3 linked regions of the Tribolium castaneum genome follow. The protein of the gene in region 1 purifies or fractionates together with the protein of each later gene. This does not show direct contact. Links are inferred from orthologs where the notes say so. Each region holds a gene or a part of one and is shown on either strand. Other genes may lie near its edges.

Region 1 (2,918 bases):
GAAACTTTCTCATAAAAAACAAACTGGAAGTCAAACCCAAATCGCATTTTTTATGTCAAATGTTTAAAGGAGTTGTGTAACAGGGTGAGTCCACTGAAAGTATATTTTTACTATGCATTTCTCAAATGGTTATTTATGTAACAAGTCCGCAAAATAGGGTTTTAGCGGACGAATCGGATTAAGGACGAGGCGACAAAGGAGCAAGTTCTTAATGAGATGAGTCCACTAAAACTATTTTGTTCGACTAAAGTTTTTAACAAAAATTGACAATTAAAAAAAAATAGAAATTTGCTTTGAAATGAAAAATCGTTAGTCACGCATTTTTAAATATCTGTTTATATACTGTTAAATATAGTACAGAAATTGCATTTAATGAAAACTTTTCACATTTAAATAAAAACTGTTTCAAAACTATAAAAACTCCAACGTCGCATTTTACTGAATTATTTCATTAAATAATATTGATAAAACTGTAAAATAGTTATGAATGATTAGATCTCCCCTTGAAAGTATCTATAAATTACATTAGCTATTACGTCTTTGAAATGCATGAATAATTTATAACAGCTATTTTGAGAGAAAATGCGACGTTGGCGTTTTTATACTTTTGAGACAGCTAATATAATCAATTGAAGTGGCCTAAGTATATAATTAAGGACTTAAGCCGATTCAATTGAATTATACCTTACCATGTACCGTAAATTTTTTCAGTATCATATTTCAAGTTTTAAGTGCAAAATGTCAAATAAACATCAACACACCTACTTGATTGATCGCATCATAAAGTACAAACTCAAAAAATAAACCAGAAACACAATTAAATATGTTTATTACTACAACCTTGTGTTAATAACAATTTCTTAAACATCATAGCCCACAATATGACGTTTACCGATGCATTCCCCTACATAAAACCAACACAATACTTCAACTGTCACAAGGGTGTTCAACCAAGCCTCCTTGACTGGAGTTTCCTTCCAACGTCCCGTTCTAGCCCCACTGATTAGACGACTTATCCCACTGCGAATTTCGGGAATATCGCCAAGAGTCGGAGGCGTCAACTCGACTTTAGCGTACTTGACAAAGGTCTCAAGACGCGGTTTTGCCTCAGCCGCCAGTCCTTTGATAAAAATTACACAATTACGTAACAATCACAAAAAACGAAAAATAAGACACAAAAATGATCACAAATGCTTACGTGCGGCAAGAGCCGGAGCTTGTGAAATTAATTTCGACATTTTTCGGTGGTTTTATTGTAAAAATTGATAATTTGGGGCCTTAGAAATGTGTGACACTTGACAGCTGAGACTGGGTGTAGTGTTGCCAACCGGTCCGAAAGTTACCAAACACCGAACGATTTTTTTATTCTCTTAACGCAAAAATCGATTTTTTTGCCGTATTTTGTAACAAAATGTACGCTATTTAACATAACTGGTTTAAACTTGTAATTAATTGTGTCTTCATTTTTTTTATATTTTTTAATCAAGATGATGGCGCCCCCTGCTTAATAACTAGCGCGTCCTTAATTTAACCTTGAGAGTGTTCAATTGAACCGTATTTTTCGTTAAAGAAGTATTAAACCAGACATTCCGCTCCGTTTGACTACATTGGGTGAGTACTATAAATTCTACTATCATTTTGCGAATTAATTGCGCCCAAAAATAATTTTATTAGAAATCCGGCCTAACCTCACTTTTTGATCGATGAAATTCAAACATAACCTCACTTCCTGATCGAACCTTGGCCTCTCCCTCCTCGCATTTAATTTATAATAGTAGTGATAAACACTTGCCGAGTCATTGTAATCACTCGACTCGTTCTAGAACAAAATGCCGACGAAAGCAGTTTGTGTCCTAAACGGCGAAGTTAAGGGGACCATTTTCTTCACACAAGAAAATGGTAAAGCCCCGGTGCAAGTCACCGGCGAGGTGAGTGGGCTCAAGAAGGGGCTGCATGGGTTCCATATCCACGAGTTTGGGGATAATACCAATGGGTGCATTTCGGCTGGGGCCCACTTCAACCCCCATGGAAAGGATCATGGAGGGCCCACCCATGACGTACGTCATGTGGGGGATTTGGGGAATATCGAAGCCGGGGGTGATGGAGTTGCCAAAGTTGGTATTACTGATAAGTTTATCTCGTTGGAAGGGGAGCATAGCATTATTGGGCGCACTTTAGTGGTTCATGCCGATCCGGATGATTTGGGACAAGGGGGCCATGAATTGAGCAAGACTACAGGGAATGCTGGCGCTCGTTTGGCGTGTGGTGTTGTTGGAATCACTAAAGCTTAAGTTTTTTTTTGGTTGGAATTGTTTTTTTTTGCTTTAATTTCAAGTTAAATACGAAATAATTTTGTAGTGGATGGTGAAAGAATAAAATATTTTAAGTTTTTATTTTGTTGTATTATTTTTATTAATTCCATTTAGCAACAGTTACTTAATAATTACTCTTATTAAATAATTAATCTTAGTTATATCCCATTTCAGTTCATAGTAGAACTGCAATAGCGCATTTGAATTTTTTATAGTGAAAAATAAAGCACAAATTGAGAGTTTCTGTATAAGAAGATTCTTTGTTAAAGTAAATCCAGCGACACACTTTGAGCTAAGAAAATCTACCAAAAACTTTCATTTTGTGCTCCATTTCATTAAAAAAAATGCAAATGCGCTGTTGCAAAATTGTACTGTGAACTGAAATGGGATATATTAGCTGTTTCAAGACTAGAAAAACGCCGTCACATTTTCTCTCAACATTAGCTGTTATAAATTATTCACGCACTTCAAAGAAATAATAGCCGATATAATTTATAGTTTCAACGAGAGATCTAATCATTAATAACTAATTTACAATTTTATCAATCTTTGACACTTTGACAATATTTTTTTAATTTGCACTTTACATTCTTGTATTAGCTGTTT
Region 2 (2,869 bases), about 10 Mb from region 1:
CAATCACAGCGACGCCGAATCGGCCTGTGATAGCCTCAACGGCACCGATTTCTTGGGCTCGAAGCTGCGCGTGGAAATCGCGAGGGGCAAGTCCCGCCGCGGGGGCTTTAGGGGCGGCCGGGGCCGAGGCGGGCCCCCGTACCGCGGGGGCGGCTACGGTGGCGACCGCGGCTTCAGAGGCGGCCGCGGGGGGCGGCCTGGAGGCCGCTTTGATTCCTACGGGGGAGGAAGGCGCGATGATGGAGGGCGCTCCTACGGAAGGGATTTTAGCAGGAGGAGAGATGGCTACGGGAGCAGGAGTGATAGCTACAATGGGCGAGGGGGCGGAGGCAGGAGGTTCGATAGTAGTAGCTCCCGGTTCAGGTCAAGGTCGCCGGCGGCAGCCCCACCAAGACACTAGTTACGATTAAGGCATAGTTTGTATTCTTATTTTTTATATTTTCGTTCAGTACAATAATGCGGAAAGCTGATGATGTATGACTAGTTTAAGTGAGTATATGGATCTGAACTTTACGATGATGATGACGTATTTATTGTTGCAAGGGGCAACTTAGATGATTATTTTATTACTTCGTAAGAGTGAAATAAAATCTAGTACCTTAACAAATATCACGTGTTAACACACGGTTTTTAATGGCTTTCCGGTCATACACAGTGTGTCTCACTGTTTTTCATTACTTAATTTCTTTTCATTGTTGTTTGTGGGATGAATCACCCTTTACTGTAATGGCATAATCAGTTGCAAATATCGAATCGATATTTTTACTAAATAATCGCCACTCTTTATTTGTACAAAAGGCTCAATACTAATAATAAAAGTGTTAGATCTTATTGATCATTTTTTAATTGCTGCCCTTCAAACTATCCTTCCGAGTACCTATGTAGCTTCCATGATTTTTTTTAATAAGGACATTCCACTATTCCTGGAATAACTGCATCCCGAGAAATTCATAAATAAATTATTCAACAGAACATAAGCGAAATATCTGACAAACTAAATTCATTTGAACTAAAAAATTGCATTATTTGGCGGAATGTGGTCATAAAAGCGCATTTTTTCTATAAAATTTTGCGAAACCCAATTATTTCGCTACTTTTGCGTTTCAGTGACATTTTTTCCATCGGGAATACAATTATTTTACAAAAGTTCGCAGAAACTAGGTTCAAATGCCGTCTTTACTAAATACTACCACCGATTATTTACTACAGTTACAGATGTGACTCACGAGGATAATTCTGAACACGAATTTAGATTAAATGTAACTAAAAAATGTATTTCCTTGCAAATGCTTTCCGGATGAATTACGCTAAATCAATTAATTGCCTTGAGAATTAAAAATTGAATAGTACTGGTGGGTGCATGGTTGCACTGCGCAGTCGTTTTAAGACACCAAGGTCATCTCTTATTCACTTTTCTAAATAATTAAAAGCCGGTATAAAATGAATGTTGGTCAACTGACGTCGAGCAGAATCATTTGCAACTCATTGTTAACTCAGTTTGTTAAAAGAACACTGAAAACAACAACAGCACTCAACATGCCTGCAAAGGTAATATAGCTCTTTATTATGTAACATAATCACATGTGAAAATGGTTATGTTTATATTATTGTTTATAACAGGTCGGAGATTCCCTTCCAAACGTCGACCTCTTTGAAGACCTCCCGACCAACAAAGTCAACTTAGCCCAACTGGCAGCCGGTAAAAAAATAATCATTTTTGCAGTCCCTGGTGCTTTTACACCCGGTTGTTCGAAAGTACTAACTGTCCTTGAATTGCGCACTATTATTACATGCGATCATTCCAGACTCACCTACCTGGTTACGTACAGAAAGCTGAGGAATTAAAGGGTCAAGGGATCAGTGAGATATTTTGTGTTTCTGTAAATGACCCATTTGTTATGGCAGCATGGGCTAAAGACCAAAAAACAACCGGAAAAGTCCGACTTTTGGCCGATCCTTCAGCCGCTTTTACCAAAGCTTTAGATTTGACTGTTGATATTGCCCCACTTGGGGGCACTAGGAGCAAGAGGTACTCCATGGTTGTTGACAATGGCAAAATTACCTCGCTTCAGGTTGAACCTGACGGCACTGGCTTGACCTGCTCCCTAGCCAATGCAATCAAATTGTAAAGCAACATGTCTTTGAAGTGCTGTTGTAATGTTGCATTATTTTATTTTATCGAGGATAGGAATTTATGGTTGATATTTTTATTATTAACTAAGTTTTTTAGTTTCTGATTAAAACTATTTTCAAGGCTCGTTGCAAGACCAAATAGCATTCATTGATTATTATAGGTTTAATTATAGTACTAGTGATAATTAATAAACCGTTACAAAGAATTATCGTATTGTAATTAACACTTTTTCCATATCCATTTTCCTAAAAAATTGTTTTTTCTTAAATCAAATGTCGGCAGGAACTAAGGAAATGATTAAATATTCTTGGAATCATTTGCTTAAATATCGACTGAGTAATTGTGCTTTTCTAACAGTTAAAGTTTTTAATTATGCAAATCGTATCGATTGGTTCTGCTGTTTTTACACCTGACTTGCCTCACATTGCCATGAATATGAATAAGTCTTATTAAAGAATAAATAATTTAAAAAAGATTGTTGTGTTATGAACAGATATGTAAAATTCAATATAACGAGAATTAAGTAAATAATGCTAAAATATTTAACCATATCAAATGTTGACTCTTGGTATTTGTATTACAATTGTTACGATTTACACAATAAATTATTTAAAATACGTACATAATACTTTGGTCAGCGCTTTTGCATTTTATATCACAGTGTAGTTATATAAAAAACACATGTTTTCATAATGCATAGACGTAGTAACAAGACAAAATTTAAAAAGTTTGGAA
Region 3 (2,437 bases), on another chromosome or scaffold:
GTAGCGTTTTACTACTCATTCTCAAAAAAAAAACTCAAAAAATTCAAGCTGAATGAAGTCTTTTCTCCTTTTATTTATTTCCATAGCATATGTGCAAGCGCCTAACCTTCCCAATCAAATTAAAAAATAATTTATTAGTTGTGGGTTGTTTCGAGTCCGGGTGTGATTAAATTACAAATTTGTAGAATCCTCGTGCGGAGAGCCCTCACGACTTAATCAACCCCGGGGACATTCGCCGGTTCGGCATCGTGCCAAATGAAGCAAAAATTTCGCTTGGGTGTTTTGCGCCCTTAAAAACGAAGATGCGTTTATTATTTTTCGTTGGTGGTCTAAATTTGACGCGTTTAATTAAAATCGACCTTAAAAGATTCCGCGCTGGTCGCATGCAATTAAAATAAATAATGGAGCGTCATCTTCTATAATAACTTAAAAAATTATAAATTGTGTGCGGAAAAAAGTTAATATGTTTGGCTTACGGCCGTTTTATTAAAAGCGGACTGATTAAAATGTGAGACGAAATTAAAAAGAGAGACCGGGGAAGTGGTATTATTGTGATATGGTGCGGTATCGACGCGGCGTTTAATGGCCGATTTTGAATTATTAAGTGGGTGCATATCGAATATTATCAGCGCGAGTGTTACCCATTTATATTTTAGATATGTTTTATTGATGGGTAAAAGCCGCGCCGAATAAAAAAGAAACTGGATCACGATGCATTACCAACAAAACATTCACACAATATCGGCTAATATTGTTTGGAAAAAAGTTTATCTATTTTTGTTTACCTAAATTAGCATAATTGCATTCAGAGATTACAAATCACTTATCAGTATAAGTGAATATGTATCTAAAAACTGGTTCTATTAAATAAACCAGGAGAAAAGTTTCGGCACTTTGACTGTGGTGCCTTTCCATATTTTTCAAAACTCTGCAAATAGCTCAAAAATACAAGAAATATTAAACAAAGAATGTTGAAAAAGTGGTTATTTACCAATTCAAAGAAAAAATTATTTATGAAAATTAACAGTTGTTGCTAAAGATTAGGAGCACACCACAGTAAAGGCTAGAATTAATTTTTGGTTATAATTTAAAAAAAAAAAAATCCATGGATATTTTTGAATTGGGAGCTCCTATTTTTGTATTCTCTAGTGGGCAATAGCTGAAGCACGCAACTATAGGCGTGATTTCTGTTTTACCGACGATTATTCTAGAAAGCAATCTCGGACACACTAAAAAGAAATAGCGATATGCAACTCCATAGTTTAAACAAAGACAGACAATGGGGATTTTGACAATTTAGTGCGACTGAAAACCTCGTGTACTTTTGATAACCTCATATCGGTTTCGAGCTGATTCTCGTGTTTGCCGGCAAGTTTCTCGAAAGTTCTTCTTTACTTCCGCCAATTAAACACAAAAAATGGTAAGTTTACGCTTAGCAATTAAACGTGTGTTTAAATTTACAAAAAAATGCAGTCTGGAGCTGCCAAACGCTTGATTCCCCTCTTCGACCGTGTGCTCATCAAAAAAGCCGAAATGGTCACGAAAACCAAAGGCGGAATTGTAATTCCTGAGAAAGCACAAGCCAAAGTTTTGCAAGGGACTGTTGTGGCCGTAGGACCTGGTGCTCGGAATAATGTAAGTTGAAATTTTGACGTTTTGGATTTTTCCTGACTTTGAGCATTTTTTAACAGAATGGAGAGACTGTTCCCTTGACTGTTAAAGTGGGAGATAACGTACTACTTCCGGAATATGGGGGCACTAAAGTAGAACTTGAAGAAAATCAAGAATATCATCTTTTCAGGGAATCAGATATTCTAGCCAAATTGACGCAGTAAAACCGCCTTTTGTACTTTTTTTTTGTAATTTCGTTACATTCTCTATGAGAAGTCTGCCGTAAATTTAAGTTATCAACCTCGATTTTGCTATTTTATGATCTGTGGTAACTTAAATTTTACGGACGTGTTATTTTCAGCAGAGTTGAAATGTTACTGTCTGAAAATGTGTTGTTTTGTAGTCATCTAGTTTAGGTTATTTCGTGTATATTTCCAAATATATTTCTATAAAAAAAATCGATTTTATTTAAACTATCCAGTTTTCATCAATCTGCGCAGTGCGCAAAGTCGGCTGTGCGCACTTATGCAACAAACGTCAATTTTCGAAGTAACCTCAAAATTACCAAGTCAAAATGAGTAAAAATATTCGGGATATATCCCCTTTTTTGCAAAAAGTTCGTGACTTTTTGCTGGGAAGGCCCCACACTTTGGCATTGCGATTCCAAGACGAAATTGCCACAAGATCACCCCCGTTACCTAATCTCCCAGACGGGCCTTCGCATTGCTTGAGCAGTAATTATTATTACACAAGGGATGCACGACGTGAAGTGGCCCCACCTGAAATCGTGGCATCCGGACAGAAGTTGATAGCAAGTGGCGAAACA

The links.
Region 2: the proteins of Sod1 (region 1) and Prx5 fractionate together in Homo sapiens (co-fractionation; 3 studies listed by BioGRID and IntAct, with this or other methods). This does not show direct contact. The link is inferred for Tribolium castaneum from reciprocal best matches to the Homo sapiens genes SOD1 and PRDX5.
Region 3: the proteins of Sod1 (region 1) and 10 kDa heat shock protein, mitochondrial purify together in Homo sapiens (affinity purification with mass spectrometry; 3 studies listed by BioGRID, with this or other methods). This does not show direct contact. The link is inferred for Tribolium castaneum from reciprocal best matches to the Homo sapiens genes SOD1 and HSPE1.

What each region holds. Positions count from the first base shown.
Region 1 is NC_087402.1:12,361,730-12,364,647, reverse strand, and holds Sod1 (superoxide dismutase [Cu-Zn]), read left to right. Parts: upstream 1-1,282; 5' UTR 1,283-1,413; intron 1,414-1,470; exon of another isoform or gene 1,471-1,487; 5' UTR 1,488-1,611; intron 1,612-1,698; exon of another isoform or gene 1,699-1,774; intron 1,775-1,823; 5' UTR 1,824-1,829; coding exon 1,830-2,291; 3' UTR 2,292-2,393; downstream 2,394-2,918. Other genes in the region: ATPsynG (ATP synthase subunit g, mitochondrial), read right to left, coding at 861-1,120, 1,199-1,238. UniProt on the Homo sapiens protein: Destroys radicals which are normally produced within the cells and which are toxic to biological systems.
Region 2 is NC_087402.1:1,937,816-1,940,684, reverse strand, and holds Prx5 (peroxiredoxin-5, mitochondrial), read left to right. Parts: upstream 1-1,378; 5' UTR 1,379-1,440; coding exon 1,441-1,548; intron 1,549-1,620; coding exon 1,621-1,755; intron 1,756-1,805; coding exon 1,806-2,129; 3' UTR 2,130-2,339; downstream 2,340-2,869. Other genes in the region: RNA-binding protein Rsf1, read left to right, coding at 1-400. UniProt on the Homo sapiens protein: Thiol-specific peroxidase that catalyzes the reduction of hydrogen peroxide and organic hydroperoxides to water and alcohols, respectively.
Region 3 is NC_087398.1:1,431,320-1,433,756, forward strand, and holds 10 kDa heat shock protein, mitochondrial, read left to right. Parts: upstream 1-1,261; 5' UTR 1,262-1,417; coding exon 1,418-1,420; intron 1,421-1,473; coding exon 1,474-1,635; intron 1,636-1,691; coding exon 1,692-1,835; 3' UTR 1,836-1,907; downstream 1,908-2,437. Other genes in the region: NADH dehydrogenase [ubiquinone] 1 alpha subcomplex subunit 7, read left to right, coding at 2,186-2,437. UniProt on the Homo sapiens protein: Co-chaperonin implicated in mitochondrial protein import and macromolecular assembly. Together with Hsp60, facilitates the correct folding of imported proteins.